Arabidopsis thaliana: one gene and its partners. The protein of the gene in region 3 interacts with the protein of the main gene of each other region in a pairwise test. Each region holds a gene or a part of one and is shown on either strand. Other genes may lie near its edges.

Region 1 (3,532 bases), on a different chromosome or scaffold from region 3:
AATTTTGTACTAATTAGTAAAGAGATAAGAGTGTTTTGAATCTTGAATATCAAATTATTATTAACAAGAAACTGACAAAAAGATGAGACAGTGTTCATTGAGAAGATCTCTGTTGTTTTATCTTTTTTTTTACATTTCTTGGAAATTGGCAAAACCAGTGTGATGAAACTGTGAAATCTTATCTCGAACCCAATCATTGTTCTATGTTTTTCTTTAATCTCTAAAAGTGAAAAAGTGAATGCATGAAACGTTCAGATACATTCATTATATTATACATTTATACATATGGACATGGTGTACGTATGTACACGGGTGCTTGTTTGATCACGGGCTCACTGACTATAAAAATCATGTTTTTTGGGACATATAGATTCGCTTACATCAACTGTGTGACCAATGGGGTATCTGAATTCAGCTTGTTCGATGTTTTGTTTGACTCTTTTAAACTATTTGGTAGTAAAAAGCCAAAAAGGAAGAGCACTGATTACGAAAGCCTTTTTGTCTTTTTGTTTCTTCTTCTCTAGCTCTCTTTCGTTCTCCTTTTGGGTTAGTCCTTCAAAATAAATGTCTTTAACTTGTCATGTATAGTTTCTTTCTCTCGTTGAACACCAACCATAGGCCTTGCAATGTGAGTCAAAACATGCATTGAAAAAAGAAGTGAATTTCAACATTAAATGCTCTCGTTTAACATGCCTATGGTTCCATTAAGCAAAGTACACACTCTATATATGTCGAAAGAACTATACAGTCGGTGTTTTAGCCCTATAGTTAGATACATTCGAACTGATTACAGAAATATCAAATATCCAGTTCTAAGATCGGATTAAGGCAAATACATTTAAACTACTTCTAGCGAATGAGGTTCACATAGAAAAACTTTTTAAAATGAATCACTAAACAAGATTCATTTTCTTTCTAAATAGTGTAAAGACGAGTGATGCATGCAACTGCTCTCCTTTCCGTTGGTCCCTTGTCAAAATATACGACCGTGAATAATTCTTCCCATCATATTTATCTGTCGGAGAGTTCCAACCTCAAAACATTCTCCTTCTCTTATCAATTCTTTCTAAAATCATAAACCAACAAACTGGGCCTATGATCAATTATTCATATTCAATTTAGCCTATAACTAAAACCACACTGCTTTCGTTACACTGGCCTTCCGACAAGTCTCTTTGACTGTTTTTATCTTAAGCGCCATCAAGTTTTAAAGAAGACAACCCCATATCTTTCCTCCCATGAATCATCGTGTCCATATTGCTATAGTTCATGAAAAAACTAAATACTATCGACAACTGAAGAAAAGATCCGGATCTTGTGGACCGAGTGAATGGTTGGGCCCAATTAGAATGGTCTACCCTAACATCTAGCCGTCTACACGATTGATCATACGTCTAAGAGGGCGAAACCACCAAACGTTTGGATTTTATCTAAATTGATGTACATAAAGCTAACATGATTTTAGTATAAACATTATAAGCATCATGGAAATCAATAAGCTAACATGATTTTAGTAGAAACATTATCAGCTAACATGAATTACTAAAAACATTTATTTTATTTTAAGGAAAAACATACAATACTAAGATTTTTTATAACATTTTTTCTTTGTAACATTATAAATTGTTTTAGTTTCTACATTAATTAAATATATAAAATAAATTCATTTAAATAATATAAGAAAACGGAATCTTTGATTAACTGCTGATTATTGGCCACTGATTAATTTCCGACCCCATCAATAGATGAGATCAGACATACACAACTTAAGTAGACCAAAAAAGCGGTTGGTGTAAGATCCCAAACTCACAGATTCCCAAATAATAGTAATACTCTTCCTCTTCTCAACTCTCACCAGTCACCAGCAGATCATCGGAGATGGGCGGAGACGGAAAAGTTTTCACCTTGTCCGAGGTTTCTCAGCACAGTAGCGCCAAGGATTGTTGGATCGTCATCGACGGCAAGGTCCTACATCTCCGATCCCAGTTTCTCATTCGATTTTCCGTTTTCCCTTAGATTTTGCATCTTATCTTCGTGAGATCCGAAATTCTTGAGTTGTGTTGACTTGGATTTATAAATCTAGAGTTATGTAGTAACAAGTTTGGGGATAGATCTGATCTGATTTGCTAGATTAATGTTACTTTTCTAAGTCTAAATCACAGAGAAATTGCTAAAAACTTACGTCTTTATAATTGAATGTGATAGTTGGTGCTGCTTAAGATGTCTCTGTGTGATCTTGTATCTGTAGTTAAAGCTAGTAAGGTTCATGTAGTTCATGTATGTTCTGATGTATGAACTTTTGATAACCCACTTAATCTAGGTCTCTGATTGTGTGGAATTAGGGACTTATATGACAAAGTTTACATTTTTTGTGTGTTTCATTTTGATGGTTATATATAGGTTTATGATGTGACAAAGTTCTTGGATGATCATCCTGGTGGTGATGAGGTTATCTTGACTTCTACAGGTAACATATAGAGATCACTTTCTCTGTTTGTTAGTTCATGTTTATGTTAACAAGAATGTGTTGTTGGTATTCAGGGAAAGATGCGACCGATGATTTCGAGGATGTGGGACATAGTTCGACTGCGAAAGCCATGCTAGATGAGTACTATGTGGGTGATATTGACACAGCTACTGTGCCGGTTAAAGCTAAGTTTGTGCCTCCTACGTCGACGAAAGCCGTGGCTACTCAGGATAAGAGCTCGGATTTTGTTATTAAGCTCCTTCAGTTCCTTGTTCCACTTCTAATCTTAGGCTTGGCTTTCGGCATTCGGTACTACACTAAGACCAAGGCTCCTTCTTCTTGAAAGATTGAATTGTGGCCTAAGTGAATTGCTTGTGTACGACGTGGTTAAACTCTGTCTCTACCTCTGTTTGTCTTGTAAGACATCATTATATTCTCTATTCCAATCAACTGATAGACCTTTGATTTTTAAGCCATCTACCTTTGTTGTCTTATATCAATCAAATCCATTTACAATATCACTCACACACCAGTCTCAAGTCTCACTTAAAAAGCAGCAACAGGTAAGAGAAAATGATAAACACTGAGCTAATCTGTGCTTGCGCAAGTTCTCTCCATCAGTACCTTTGAATCTGTTCTGAAAGACTGCTTTGATGGAGAGCTTGATCCTCTTGAAGAGCTATGCCCAAAGAAGCTAAGTTTCCCCATTTTCTTTGAGAAACTGCTCATGAATTTGCGCGAATGAGACCTCTGCATATCTCTCTTCATACATATATGTTCTTTCTCTAGGTCGTTGAGTCTCATTCTCAACCTAGCTAACTCGAGCTTCAGTTCTCGGTTTTCTCTCCTCAGAGACGCATAGTTGTCTTTGGGGGACATTGTTGCACTGAGAGCTCCGCTATTGATTCTCCATGACTGCTGTTGTTGCTGCTTTGGCTTTGGCTCTTCGTCTGAGTAAGAAGAGCACAAGGAGCTTCGAAGCTTGAGTTGCTCAAAGTAGAGAACTTGAACTATGGATTGCAGAGGAAGCCGCTCGTTTTGTGCAGCGTGTGCTCCAGCTTCTTG
Region 2 (3,304 bases), 5.9 Mb from region 3:
AGTAACACAACTCAAAAAACAAAGGAGTGTTGTTGCAAGAATTAGACAAAGCTGACGCAGACCATAATACCACCAGCATTATCATCAACAGAAGCCAGAACCAACAAGATCTAACCTGCAGGATTCCCTTTTTGGTACTGGCTGGTCTTATAGACCGTGGACAATTTCAATTCAGAAGCAATTAGCGATACATCAGGTCCTATAATTGCATGAACTTGAGAGGAGATCTCATGTACCAATACAAAGCAAAGAAATTCTACAAAGAAGTGGCTTTCTCAACTGGAACCTAGAGATAGAGCTACCAACTTTCAGGAATTGGGATTTCCAATCCTAACTAATATATTCTCATCGCTATATGATCATAGATCCACCAGTGTCTCATACTCTCTCAGTTACATATACTAAAAGGACAAGCAAGGAAGATATTTTGGTACATGTTTTTGGTCTTTCTGAATCAAATCGACAGATACTACATAATATCAATGCTATATAGATAACGTCGGCTTTGCGAGGTTATCTGCTACCAAAAGGGACGATATGCAAAGACTTCTTCTAATAAAAAGATTGATACCAGCAAACCAAACCATCCATTAATCATATATAATCATATCGATAATAAGTGTATTGAAACATGATCTCAACTCAAAATCTGATAAAAATGAAAAATAACAATTATCTCTCTATCATATCTGTTATTCAAAAAATCTATAATGGGGGTGTAAAGTTGATTCCCCAAGTAATTCAATATCCCAGAGCATATCAAGGTAAGAAAGAGACTACTACTTATTAAGTCTTGCGAGAGAACAAGACACTAACCGCTACAGAGATGGTGATAATGGAGACAGGAACAACCCAATACTGCTTTGTCAAGTCAAAAAGCTTCTGAACAGAGTCTTGTGGCTGGTCCTTCTTGTAGATCTTAAGCTCAGGTATTTCCGGTAAAGAAGATTCATCTAGCTCGCCAATAAAATACTTCTCCATAAGTTCCCTAGCATCTTTGCTGTGCCCTGCGTCTTCAAAATCATCCGTTGCATCTTTGCCTTCAACAACAACATCATCACATTTACTTGGATTAGAGTAGAGACAACAACAGATCAGTCATTTAGCAAGGATGGGCAAGAGGAAGAAGAAGAAGCTTACCTGCGACAGCAAGAAGCACATCATCTCCTCCAGGATGCTCATCCATATAAGAGGATACATCATAGACCTGTAAAGAGAACGCATCAGCCATATCATTTTCTTGGGGACCAAGATTGTGAAGTCAACACATTATCAACAAAAAAAAAGAGGAAGAAGATTCTGATTAGCTCAATCTAACTACATATAAACAGCAATTACAAGATTCTTCATTAGATTCTATAGGCAACAAGACACAGATATGGTTTCTGAAAGCGAAGGAAACTTCAGGATTCACAAACACATGAACAAGGATTGAAATTAGAAGATTGAGAAAAAGAGTAGACCTTGCCGTCGATGACGACCCAGCAGTCATCTTGCTTGTTGTGAGTTGCGGCTTCTTCCATGGAATAAAGCTTTGTGAGTGTCGGCATCTTCTTCTGAAACTGAGTAGCGAGCGAAATAGCGAATGGTCTTTGATTTTTCTCTTTTTGGGGGTTTTAGGTTTGGTCGACCACGCGAAAAGATGAGCAGACTAGAGGAGAAAGATAATAAGAGCTAGAGCCCTCTCAGCAACGACGTCGTTTAATTTAATTATTTATAATTTCATATTCTTAATTCCTTTTTGGAAAATTAGCAAAAATGGAATAAAAAATTACTGAGAAATCAGAAATGCCTTGTAAGTTGTAGCAACGAATATACATAAAAGATTTATTTATCATCATTTATCATTTACATCTTCGTACAATTTTTTTTAACTAGATTAGAAAATTCTCAACTTGTAAGCCATATGGTAAAAGTTTACAAGCATAAAAACTTAGTTGACTTAAAAATGTAACCAAGCCAATTGAAGTCATTTTGGCAAAACATCTTTTTGTTGTTACCCTCCTTGATTGATTTTGAGTTTACTTTTCCGGATGGCAATAAACTAGGAGCTGACCATCTTCACTTGCTATGCATATATTTCTGGAATCATCAGTACTGATGCATGAAACTCTTTGACCTGACAAAATCCATGTAACAATATTAACTTTTGAGAATTGACTTCGTTATTTTCATGGATATATCTAGTTAAAACTTCAATCAGTGTATACCTTTGAAATCATGGAGAGAGCCGAGTTTAGTGCCAGTGGATAAGTCCCACATATACACAAGTCCATCAAGTGTGCCTGCTACTCCATGGCCAGATATTGTACCGGCAACATCAGCCCTGTAAACCACAAATCCATAGCCAATGAACCATGGATTTAGAAATGTTACCATTCATATACCATTTACTTCTCATATAATCCCCAAAGCAAAACTAATTTCTCGGAACATGGAGAAACCAGAGGAGCCTGAGAAAGACAGTATCCATGTAAAGAAAGAGATGTGTGATAATACCTCGGATCCAACTGACTTCCCAATATGAGTTGGTCTTTCACAAGGAGAGCAAGTCTCCAACATCTAACTGGACTTTCTACACGGTCACATTTAGCATCTGAGTCAAGATCAGTAGAGACTAAAAGCCAAATAGCAGTGTCTTTGACTTCAGCTGGAACCAATGTTTTGTTGTTGACCCCTTTTGAGAACCATAATTTTGTTGCAGCTAAAATCATGTCAACGTTATCCTCGATTGTAGAATGACTATGTACAGGGTGCCATGCAAACAAGCTCGTCGGAATGAACTCAAAGATCAAATTGCTGGGAGATACAAATCTTGATACTAGGCTTCGCTTCGAGATATCCCTAAATCGATAATAAACAAAGTTAGCAGGCCGAAACAATGGAGACAGGAAGAAAAAGATCAAGCAAAGTTGGCTGCTCCTCATCATTCCCTAGCACGGATAGTGTTCTGTAATTTAACAAAGAGATGGGCAGAGAAAAAAACTCTAAAGATAGAGGGAGAGAGAGAAAGAGGGAGCAAAATACCATATTGTAAATTCTCCTATACCATTATGCCCAATAACGAGATGAGGACATTTTGGTATCTTCTTCAGTTCCATGATGCATGATGATATGCAAGGATTTGCGAGTATAACATATTCTTCGGTAGGACCACTGCAAATTAAGGATACAAGAACATTAGCAAAAATTCCAATGATGATCCAATAGCTCCAAATAGAAGAAGGATCTGACAACTATTTTAAGAGAAGAGTAATGAACTCTGATGAGAGTACCTCCAATGCGAGTTCATGGCCCAGACAAT
Region 3 (5,503 bases):
TCTACATTATTTTAAGATTTTTCTTTTCCATGTAGTTGTCTCATACTTCCTTCGAAAAGATCTTTCTCTAACTTCAACCTTGGGGATCGAGCAACCATATTTCAATCAACAGATTCTTTCATCACTCTAATAACGGACAAAAAAAGAAAAGATGTCAAAAAAAAAAAAATTGGAATATGCACGTTGATACTATAAGTTCATTTAAATCAGTCGTTAGAGTAAACCTTATTGAGAGTTCAAATTCATTTAAAAACCTGATGAGATAATTATATAATTTCTTATAAGATTTTTTTTTCTTGTAAGAATTTAACGAATAGAATTTTTCTCTCTATTACTTAAAATTCCTCCTCGTCAAAAATTGCAAATGCTTGGCAGTTTTACCATTTTCTCAGAACTACCGTATGAGAAATAAAGTACGTATTAAAAAACAATACAAGCTTTAAAGATAAAAGAGGCAACAAATTTTTTTGACAAAAAAATTAGATGAAAAGAAGTGACGACAAATAACTGAGAAAACACGTTTTGCAAAACTAAAAAAAAAAAAAAAAAGAGAGAGTTGGAAAATGTTTGGAGCTGGTGGGCATTAGTTGGCTATGCAACGCACGGACGCGGATACTTTTCAACTCGTTGCTTACGCGGCCACGTTTTCGTCACAAACCGTGTTTCTTTTGCGGCCTTTTAAGTTTTAATCAAACATTTTTGTTTTCATTTGAATCTTTTTTTTAAGGCGGTTATACGAATAAAATCATTAAAAGGAGAAACGGGCCTTCATGTTTAGGTTTTTGTTCTTCCTCATTTGGGTTATTTAGCTTATTGGTTCAGCCCACAAGAGTTTCCTTCAATGGATAGGGCCTTCAGTTGCATGCCATCATCCTTTCTTGTTTCTCTATAAGCCATTTTTGCAATGAGAATTTCTCAATTTCTTATTTTTGCAATAAAATCATTTTGCCTTAGATGATGGTGGAATCATCCGTTTTTCTTTATTTTGACCCGGTGAGTAATTGAACGCAAAAAATAGTCCAATTATTCAAAACCTTACAATTTCATATCGCCATAATAAACCTAAACATGATTCGAGTGAGCAACTACATAAAAAGGGGAACGAAATGTTGGTACAAAACTGAATTCCAACCCAATCAAGTGCATACTAAACTATTGAGCAAAAACAAAGATAAAAATCAGTTCACCTACCCTAATTAAAACATGATTAGGCCTAAAAGACTATAAGTAAAGATAAAAAAGATGCCATTTTAGAGTACGTTTTGGTAAATTGGCGCCATCGTGTTATACGTTTAAACCGTATAACCTGAATCATGCAGCACGTGTACGGCTCACATTGGCCCAAGCTTGATTAACAAACAATAACGTCATTTTCGTATTTCAACAATTTTGATCGCTCAATCCTTTCGACCTAATTTCCATATTAAGTAATTTATTAGTTAAAACAACGGACTCAACCAAATTACATATTAAGAGAATATTTGAAAATTGTCTATGTAGATGAACATGTATTTGAAAATTGCGTAAGCACACTCTTTCTCTCTCTCTTTTTTTTTTTTTTTTTTCCCCCTCTTCTTTCTTTGAATAAAGATGACATTTTTTTCTGTTCCAAACACAAAACTGCATATTGATAGTGTTATTGAATACTCAACGTCTCTTCTTCCAGCTTACGTAAGTGGAACTTACTTTTTGCCCCGTGATCCAACAGAAAATGACGAATGCTCCCTCAAAATCATTTCGTTTCAACAAAAATATGTATTTTATCCATAGAGAAACAACAAACCTTACACTATATACCCTCTTTTAACGTGCCCACTTTTCATTATTTACACAATTTCCCCAACAAATTTAAAACAATTTACAAAAAGCACTCAACTTTCCTAAAGTAGATTCCTTTAGTCCAATGGAATTCTTACAACATCTTCTTCTTCGCCACCTTTTTCTCTCCACTTTAAGCTTTTTCACTCTCTCTACGCCACGACGACTGTGAAGCGAGAAATGGCTACTTCCGATCAAGATCGCCGTCACAGAGTCACTCGCAACCGTCCACCAATAGCTCGACCCTCTACTTCTTCATCTCGTCCCGTTGTATCTCCTCCTAGATCAAAAGTTTCGAAGCGTGTGCTTCTCCGTGTAGCTTCCGTCGCATGCGGGATTCAATTCGGATGGGCTCTTCAGCTTTCTCTCCTCACACCTTACGTTCAAGAGCTGGGGATCCCACACGCTTGGGCTAGTGTGATTTGGCTTTGCGGTCCTCTCTCTGGTTTGTTCGTGCAACCGCTCGTTGGGCATAGTAGCGATAGGTGTACTAGTAAGTACGGTCGTCGGAGACCGTTTATTGTCGCCGGAGCTGTGGCGATTTCTATCTCTGTTATGGTTATTGGTCATGCGGCGGATATTGGATGGGCATTTGGGGATAGAGAAGGGAAGATTAAGCCGAGGGCGATTGTTGCTTTTGTTTTAGGGTTTTGGATTCTTGATGTTGCTAATAATATGACTCAAGGTCCTTGTAGAGCTCTCCTTGCTGATCTTACTGGTAAAGTTCCTGACTTTAGTGTTGATTGGGTCTTCAATTTGAAATCATTCAAATGTAGTAAATTTGGGATTCTCGTGATTATACACTCACATGCAAAACATGAAAATGCATAAATTTGTGATTTTGGATACAATTTGGGGTTATATAATTACCTAATTGGTTCCTAACAATCAAAAGGTCCCTTCTTTGTTTCTGGTCGGTGGCTTATCGTTGAGTCACAGAGACTTTGTTTTTTCTCTTTCCCTTGAATCAAATTGTGGATTTTGGTGAAGTTAATCGTAGCCTACGATTGTGTGATAACCTCATGGAGTGAAAACAAAGATATGTTGTGTTTTAATTCTTGTCCTATTGCTTTATTTTCAGAGAATGATAATCGCAGAACCCGAGTTGCAAATGGCTACTTCTCTCTCTTTATGGCTGTTGGCAATGTTCTTGGCTATGCTACTGGATCATACAATGGTTGGTACAAGATCTTCACTTTTACGAAGACAGTTGCATGTAATGTGGAATGTGCCAATCTCAAGTCTGCCTTCTACATAGATGTTGTCTTTATTGCAATAACTACGATCCTAAGCGTCTCAGCGGCTCATGAGGTGCCACTTGCTTCATTGGCTTCTGAAGCACATGGGCAAACCAGTGGAACAGACGAAGCTTTTCTTTCTGAGATATTTGGAACTTTCAGATATTTTCCAGGAAATGTTTGGATAATCTTGCTTGTTACAGCATTGACATGGATTGGTTGGTTTCCATTTATTCTGTTTGATACTGATTGGATGGGTCGAGAGATCTATGGCGGTGAACCGAACATAGGGACTTCATATAGTGCTGGGGTCAGTATGGGTGCACTTGGTTTGATGTTGAATTCTGTTTTTCTTGGAATCACTTCTGTGCTCATGGAGAAACTTTGCAGAAAGTGGGGGGCTGGTTTTGTTTGGGGAATATCAAATATCTTAATGGCTATTTGCTTTCTTGGAATGATAATCACCTCATTTGTTGCGTCTCACCTTGGCTACATTGGCCATGAACAACCTCCTGCCAGCATCGTGTTTGCTGCTGTGTTAATCTTTACAATTCTGGGCATTCCATTGGCGGTAAGTTTACTCCTGTAATTCTGCTGTCATGTTACTTACACTATTACTTATGATATTTTGCCTGCTCATCTGTAACAACATGATGAAATTTATTTACGCTTTCGCTGTAACTAATGCTATTGCTACTCTTCTGCAGATAACTTACAGCGTCCCATATGCGTTGATTTCCATACGTATTGAATCCCTGGGCTTAGGTCAAGGTGTGCAGGCTTATCTTTGGGTGTTGTTTCTTATAAAAGTTCTGTTGTGTTGTTTCTTAGAAAAGTTCTGCTCAATGATTTTACTCTACATATGAGTGTTGTTTCTTATAAAAGTTCTGTTGTGGCAGGCTTATCTTTGGGTGTGCTAAATTTGGCGATAGTCATCCCACAGGTACACTTCTTTCAACCATCCTTTTAGCATTATATTTGCCGCAACTCAAAATCATATTCTTCTTTGAATGTTTCTGCCTGTAAAAGGAAGTCTATAAGCATAACATGCAGCAGAGTTACTGCATTATTTGTCAATTGTCATTAATAAACGATTCGTTTTTTTAGTTATGGTCATTGGCCAGTGATGAAAGTACACTTTTTATTTCTCTATATTAGTTGATTGATGAATTTCTTCCCTATGTTGGTTATGGTTTTTGGCATCAAACTCAAATTCTGTTGTTCAATCATTTATGTGTTTGCAGGTAATTGTGTCTGTTGGCAGTGGCCCATGGGATCAACTGTTTGGAGGTGGGAATTCACCGGCACTTGCAGTAGGAGCAGCTACAGGCTTCATTGGCGGAATTGTAGCTATCTTGGCTCTTCCACGGACAAGGATTCAGAAGCCCATCCCTCTCCCATGAGATTCTCTCTTTTGTTATATAAGGTAATAATGTCACAATTCTTTCACAAAAAGTACATAGTAAGCACTTAAGTTGTCACTGATTATTAAAAGCGGCTAATGCGAAATAGATGAGTGTCAAGCGAGGAACGCATAAGGGGAGTGCTTGGAAATGGCAAGGAGATGGAACACTTAATGTGATCCTTGTCGAAAATTCGTGCAATGGCTTCTCGTGTGACTAACTTATTTGCAGCTACTAGGACTTAATCCCCTCTACTTTGGGGACTATGATCCTTGTATACACGAGGCACCATAGAACCAATGAAAATAATACATCATTCAGTTTGTGAGGTATATGCATCTCTCCTTTATTGGAAGTTCCAGTTCGGGATCTTCTCTGTTTTTTTTGTTGTTGTTGTAAATTAATGTAAAAACCTGTGTACAACAGAGTGTTTGTAAGGGCCCCTGAGTTCTGTAACTGTTTATAAAGTTCATTTTCTTTAGAATTAGTTTGATAAAGAAAACCTGAGATCCAAAAAATTTACATGATCTGTGTAGCAAAAGTAGAAAGGAACCATTACGAGTACTAGTAGTCTCTATAGTAGCAGTAACCACCAATAGTCAGCAATAGATTAGGATGACTCTTGGGAATATTAAGACCATCTCCAATGGTTAAGAAGTAATTGGTTCTTAACCAAACATCTTAACAATTATTTATACTAAAATTTTGAAACATGACATGTAACTGTTTTTTTCACTCATGAAAACTTCTTAGCTAAGAAGCAAATCTTAGTTTTTAATTTATTTTGATTTAATTTTCAAAGTTTAATTCTAAAATATTATTCTAAGATACACCTAAGATAAACCATTGGAAGTGCTCTAAGCCTAGTAGGAAGGAATAGTAGCAAATCCCAGTTTTCTTCTTGAGTGAGATGTTTGAGATTGAAATTACTGTAATGCTATTGAGATTCTGTAGGCAGCGTATCAATAATTGAGAGAAATAAGTAGATGCTAATACAGCTTGAGCAATACTTATCCTTGTAAAATTGTGAATGATTCCAGAGTT
Region 4 (3,789 bases), on a different chromosome or scaffold from region 3:
AGATGTCGGGGTACGTATTCTAATCAGTTCTATTGAGTACATTTTTATGATCCTCGGGTTGATTTACCAATAGAGAAGATTATATAGACATATGACATGCATATGCTTCAATTGTTCGTGTGCGTTTACGTTGATTTGATTAGTATATTCAAATGAATCCAAAATTTTAAAATCTTTAAACTAGTTTAATTGTTATTGTAGAAATAAGTTAACTAAAATGGAAGGATTATACGTTCACTAATCTACAAAAATTTGGGTTTTCTTTCAAAATATGACTTTAAAGACATATAAATGCAGAAATTGCATTTGAGTCAATCGAGATCGTCATTTTTTTTTCTGTCGACAATTAAGGCCATTATACGCAAAGAAATAAGTACATAAAATAAGTACATAAAATTATATCTTCTTGACTCTTGATATTGAATTTCTTGAGATCTTTCGTATTAGAATCTGTACGTACAGGCCGATACTGATCACTTTGGCTCGATCAAAACCGCTGAAACGCCAGCTGTCACGGCGGCAGCCGAGGCCGAGATAGAGCCACAGAAGAAGAGGACAACACTTGCGGAGCTTTTCATGGAGGACCACGACAAAGGTTATGACACGTGGCATTGCAAGAAACCCAATAACCCTAATCTTGACGGTGAGGAGGTTAAGTACTATAAACAAAACGGTTCAAAACTAAGCAAGAGGTTCTCGTTTGTTAAGAAGAAGCTGGTCATGTCAAAGTCCAAAGAGGAAGAAAACGACTTACGTCCAATCAAGAAAATGCGTCAGGTATTTAAATTTGTTTTAGTCAATTCCGTAACTATGAAACATTGATGATGATGGATATATGAACATGTTACATGTGCCTCTATAGCTCAAGGGAAACAATGTCACGTCAAGATCTAGATAATTATTCGTGCATGTTACAATTACATCACTTTTGTTGCTTCATAAGTGTACTCATATGTGAGTAAATATTCATTCGATGTCAACAAGTATAGCATCATTATATATGTGTATATATTACTGTAGATGATAAAGAGGATGTTGAAGAAGAAGATCCATCCAGATGTCGATGCAACTAAGGCTTTAAAGAAGGACGTTCCATACAAGCCAACTCGGAACTGTGAAGCTCTCGAGTCACATTATCTTCTTAAAATTCAAGGTTTGTATTTCTTAATTATTTTGGTTTAGGGGTTCGATATGATTTATTTCTTTCATTTGCTCGTATATATATGCTTTGTGGACAGATTGCGTGGCCTAGAAGTCTAAGAACGACGACATCGTACAAGAGCAATCTCTGGATCTATTGTTCTACTCCCTATAATATATGTGATTTTTTTGTTCTTATTTCAGAATGTGTTGGTATTGTTATGACTGTTGAGATGTATTGCTTTCTTCTTACAAACATTACTAAGTTGTTAGTATTTGTTCCTGTTATGCATATTGTATTTTATTACTATGTCATATGTTTTCTTATTTATACGTATATCAATGCATCGTTCTAAAATCGTGGATTGTCGTGAATCTGTGATAGTATTCCATCATGTCTGCTATAGCTTGGTCAGTTTTGAAGAAATTTCAAACCTAAAGTCATAAACTGATAAAGGACTAAATTATCCTACTCAAAACAGAAAGCCCTTTTGTGCGTTATTGGGCCTAATCAGAAAAGTGATTTTGAAAAAGGGCCTAATCAGAAAAGTGATTTTGAGGCTTTTTAAAAGTTTAAAGTAAACAAAAGAAAATTGAGGCTTGACTTTTCTTTCTTTTTTTGACTTGTTTTCTTTTTTCCTTTTTCTTATAAGAGAAAACTAAAACGTGAAAGAGCTTCACCAACCTGAGGTCGCTGACCACTTGGAGGCATTCTCAGCTACCAATCCATTAACTTACAAACTCCATATTCTTCACGTTTTACTATGGTAGGTACCTTTTTTTAACCTTGTTCGTAATAACAATTTTATACGAAAAGAATAGTATTAAACTTCAACAAAAACAACTATGTATATTAACTGGTCAGATATACATTGCTTTGTTCCCTTACATCTTCAAAGAGCTAAGATTAAACTATTTACCCCAAATAAGACTGTAATTTCATCAAAATCTAGTAATAATAATATTCAACAGCTTACAATATAAACATAACGCGTGTGGTCTCCATAAGCTACGCACTGTCTTTTCATCGGTTCGTAGAAACTAGAAACTCTTCCCCTCACGATCTTGCTTTCTTTATTTTGCTTCAACCCTAGTTTATTTGAAGTCTCTATATAAAGTTCTCTGTTTCAAGTTACTTTCTCAGCACGAGCAACCAAAAGTAATCATATGGCGAATCTAATTTCGTTTCACGATGTGGCTAAACATAAGTGCAAGAACGATTGTTGGATTCTCATCCATGGAAAGGTCCATATTTCTACTTTCTTTAAATCACGTAAACAAATTTATAGATTATAAATGCTCTGTTTTTTTAGCTTTATACTTGTTTCTAAACACATGTTTATCCACAGGTCTATGACATCAGCACTTTCATGGACGAACATCCCGGAGGTGACAATGTTCTCCTCGCCGTCACCGGTACGTACGAGTACGAGTTGGTTTATTCCGGTTTAGTTTGAATTTATCGGTTTGTAATTTTGTGAGTTTTTATGAAAATTTAAAGGGAAAGACGCGTCGATCGATTTCGAAGATGTGAACCATAGCAAAGATGCCAAGGAGCTAATGAAGAAATACTGTATCGGTGACGTTGACCAGTCAACGGTTCCGGTGACGCAACAGTATATTCCGCCGTGGGAGAAGGAATCTACGGCGGCGGAAACAACTAAAGAAGAATCTGGAAAGAAGCTGCTTATCTACTTAATTCCTCTCTTGATACTCGGCGTTGCTTTCGCTCTCAGATTCTACAACAACAAGTAGACCAAATTATGATGAACAGATTGATAAGAGTTTCTTACTGTTCTTGGTTTTCGTTTGTTGGTAATAACGGGCTTCTTATGTGAAGATTTGGGCCATTTGGCCCATCGCTCAGAATTGGACTATAATGTCTTATTTATTTTATGTTAATGGGCCGTATCAGTAGGCCCTTTGTTGATATATGCCAATCCCAATTTCTTCTAGCATGAGCTTTGTGTTATTTACTTGATTTTGATAAAACAACCAACTTATGCAGTAGATTCCATTTGACGAAAAAAAATAAAAATAAAAATGCAGTAGATTCCATTAAATTCGTACTTAATAATAAAAATGGGTGAGGGCATACTTACAAAGAAGGAATGTGTGTCAGTGTGTGTCAAAAATATGACACAGACACAGAATTATTTTTAGCAAAAACGTTCCACATAATTTCAACCTTTATACTGTCGGTTATTTTTTGCCACTTTAAAGACACAGAATTCAATGTGTCATAAAAAAGGACACAAAGAAATGAAGAATGTTGGTTTTTAATTTACTAATTCGAGAGGGGATTTATTAATCAAATTTCGAAATGTAATGTTAGTATTTCTATATTATATTACTAGAAGACGATTAAAAATATGAGAATATTTTTCTTAAGTAAAGTTTTTTTTTCTTTTTTAAACCGTGTAATGTTAATTGTTTGGTAAAACAAACCAAACATTCGTGTTTCTATGCAACTTATTAAACAAGTGATTGTTATTATATATAATAAAAAAAAACGTTTCCGGAGTGATAGTAGACTTGCAAAGATCGTTCACCAGAATCTTGGAAACTAAATTTTATAGTTTAATATCCTGTTGCGTTTTTTTTTTTTTTTTTAATTTATCCTGTTGCAGTCTTGATCTGTGATAGAAT

Evidence for each region.
Region 1: the proteins of SUT4 (region 3) and CB5-D interact in a two-hybrid assay, tested with the Arabidopsis thaliana proteins (one study listed by BioGRID).
Region 2: the proteins of SUT4 (region 3) and CB5-A interact in a two-hybrid assay, tested with the Arabidopsis thaliana proteins (one study listed by BioGRID).
Region 4: the proteins of SUT4 (region 3) and CB5-C interact in a two-hybrid assay, tested with the Arabidopsis thaliana proteins (one study listed by BioGRID).

The regions. Positions count from the first base shown.
Region 1 is NC_003076.8:19,788,527-19,792,058, reverse strand, and holds CB5-D (cytochrome B5), read left to right. Parts: upstream 1-1,686; 5' UTR 1,687-1,878; coding exon 1,879-1,965; exon of another isoform or gene 1,966-2,400; coding exon 2,401-2,467; intron 2,468-2,541; coding exon 2,542-2,810; 3' UTR 2,811-2,992; downstream 2,993-3,532. Other genes in the region: AT5G48800 (Phototropic-responsive NPH3 family protein), read right to left, coding at 3,056-3,532. UniProt on the Arabidopsis thaliana protein: Membrane bound hemoprotein which function as an electron carrier for several membrane bound oxygenases, including fatty acid desaturases.
Region 2 is NC_003070.9:9,112,238-9,115,541, reverse strand, and holds CB5-A (cytochrome B5), read right to left. Parts: upstream 1,679-3,304; 5' UTR 1,551-1,678; coding exon 1,464-1,550; intron 1,208-1,463; coding exon 1,141-1,207; intron 1,041-1,140; coding exon 787-1,040; 3' UTR 565-786; downstream 1-564. Other genes in the region: AT1G26330 (DNA binding protein), read right to left, coding at 2,022-2,119, 2,211-2,326, 2,500-2,844, 3,028-3,156, 3,276-3,304.
Region 3 is NC_003070.9:3,242,260-3,247,762, forward strand, and holds SUT4 (sucrose transporter 4), read left to right. Parts: upstream 1-1,726; 5' UTR 1,727-1,998; coding exon 1,999-2,536; intron 2,537-2,899; coding exon 2,900-3,627; intron 3,628-3,763; coding exon 3,764-3,827; intron 3,828-3,955; coding exon 3,956-3,999; intron 4,000-4,300; coding exon 4,301-4,459; 3' UTR 4,460-4,482; intron 4,483-4,568; 3' UTR 4,569-4,957; downstream 4,958-5,503. UniProt on the Arabidopsis thaliana protein: Responsible for the transport of sucrose into the cell, with the concomitant uptake of protons (symport system). Can also transport maltose at a lesser rate. May also transport biotin.
Region 4 is NC_003071.7:19,149,500-19,153,288, forward strand, and holds CB5-C (cytochrome B5), read left to right. Parts: upstream 1-1,981; 5' UTR 1,982-2,307; coding exon 2,308-2,385; intron 2,386-2,489; coding exon 2,490-2,556; intron 2,557-2,641; coding exon 2,642-2,895; 3' UTR 2,896-3,240; downstream 3,241-3,789. Other genes in the region: AT2G46640 (NAD-dependent protein deacetylase HST1-like protein), read left to right, coding at 1-10, 448-777, 1,021-1,182. UniProt on the Arabidopsis thaliana protein: Membrane bound hemoprotein which function as an electron carrier for several membrane bound oxygenases, including fatty acid desaturases.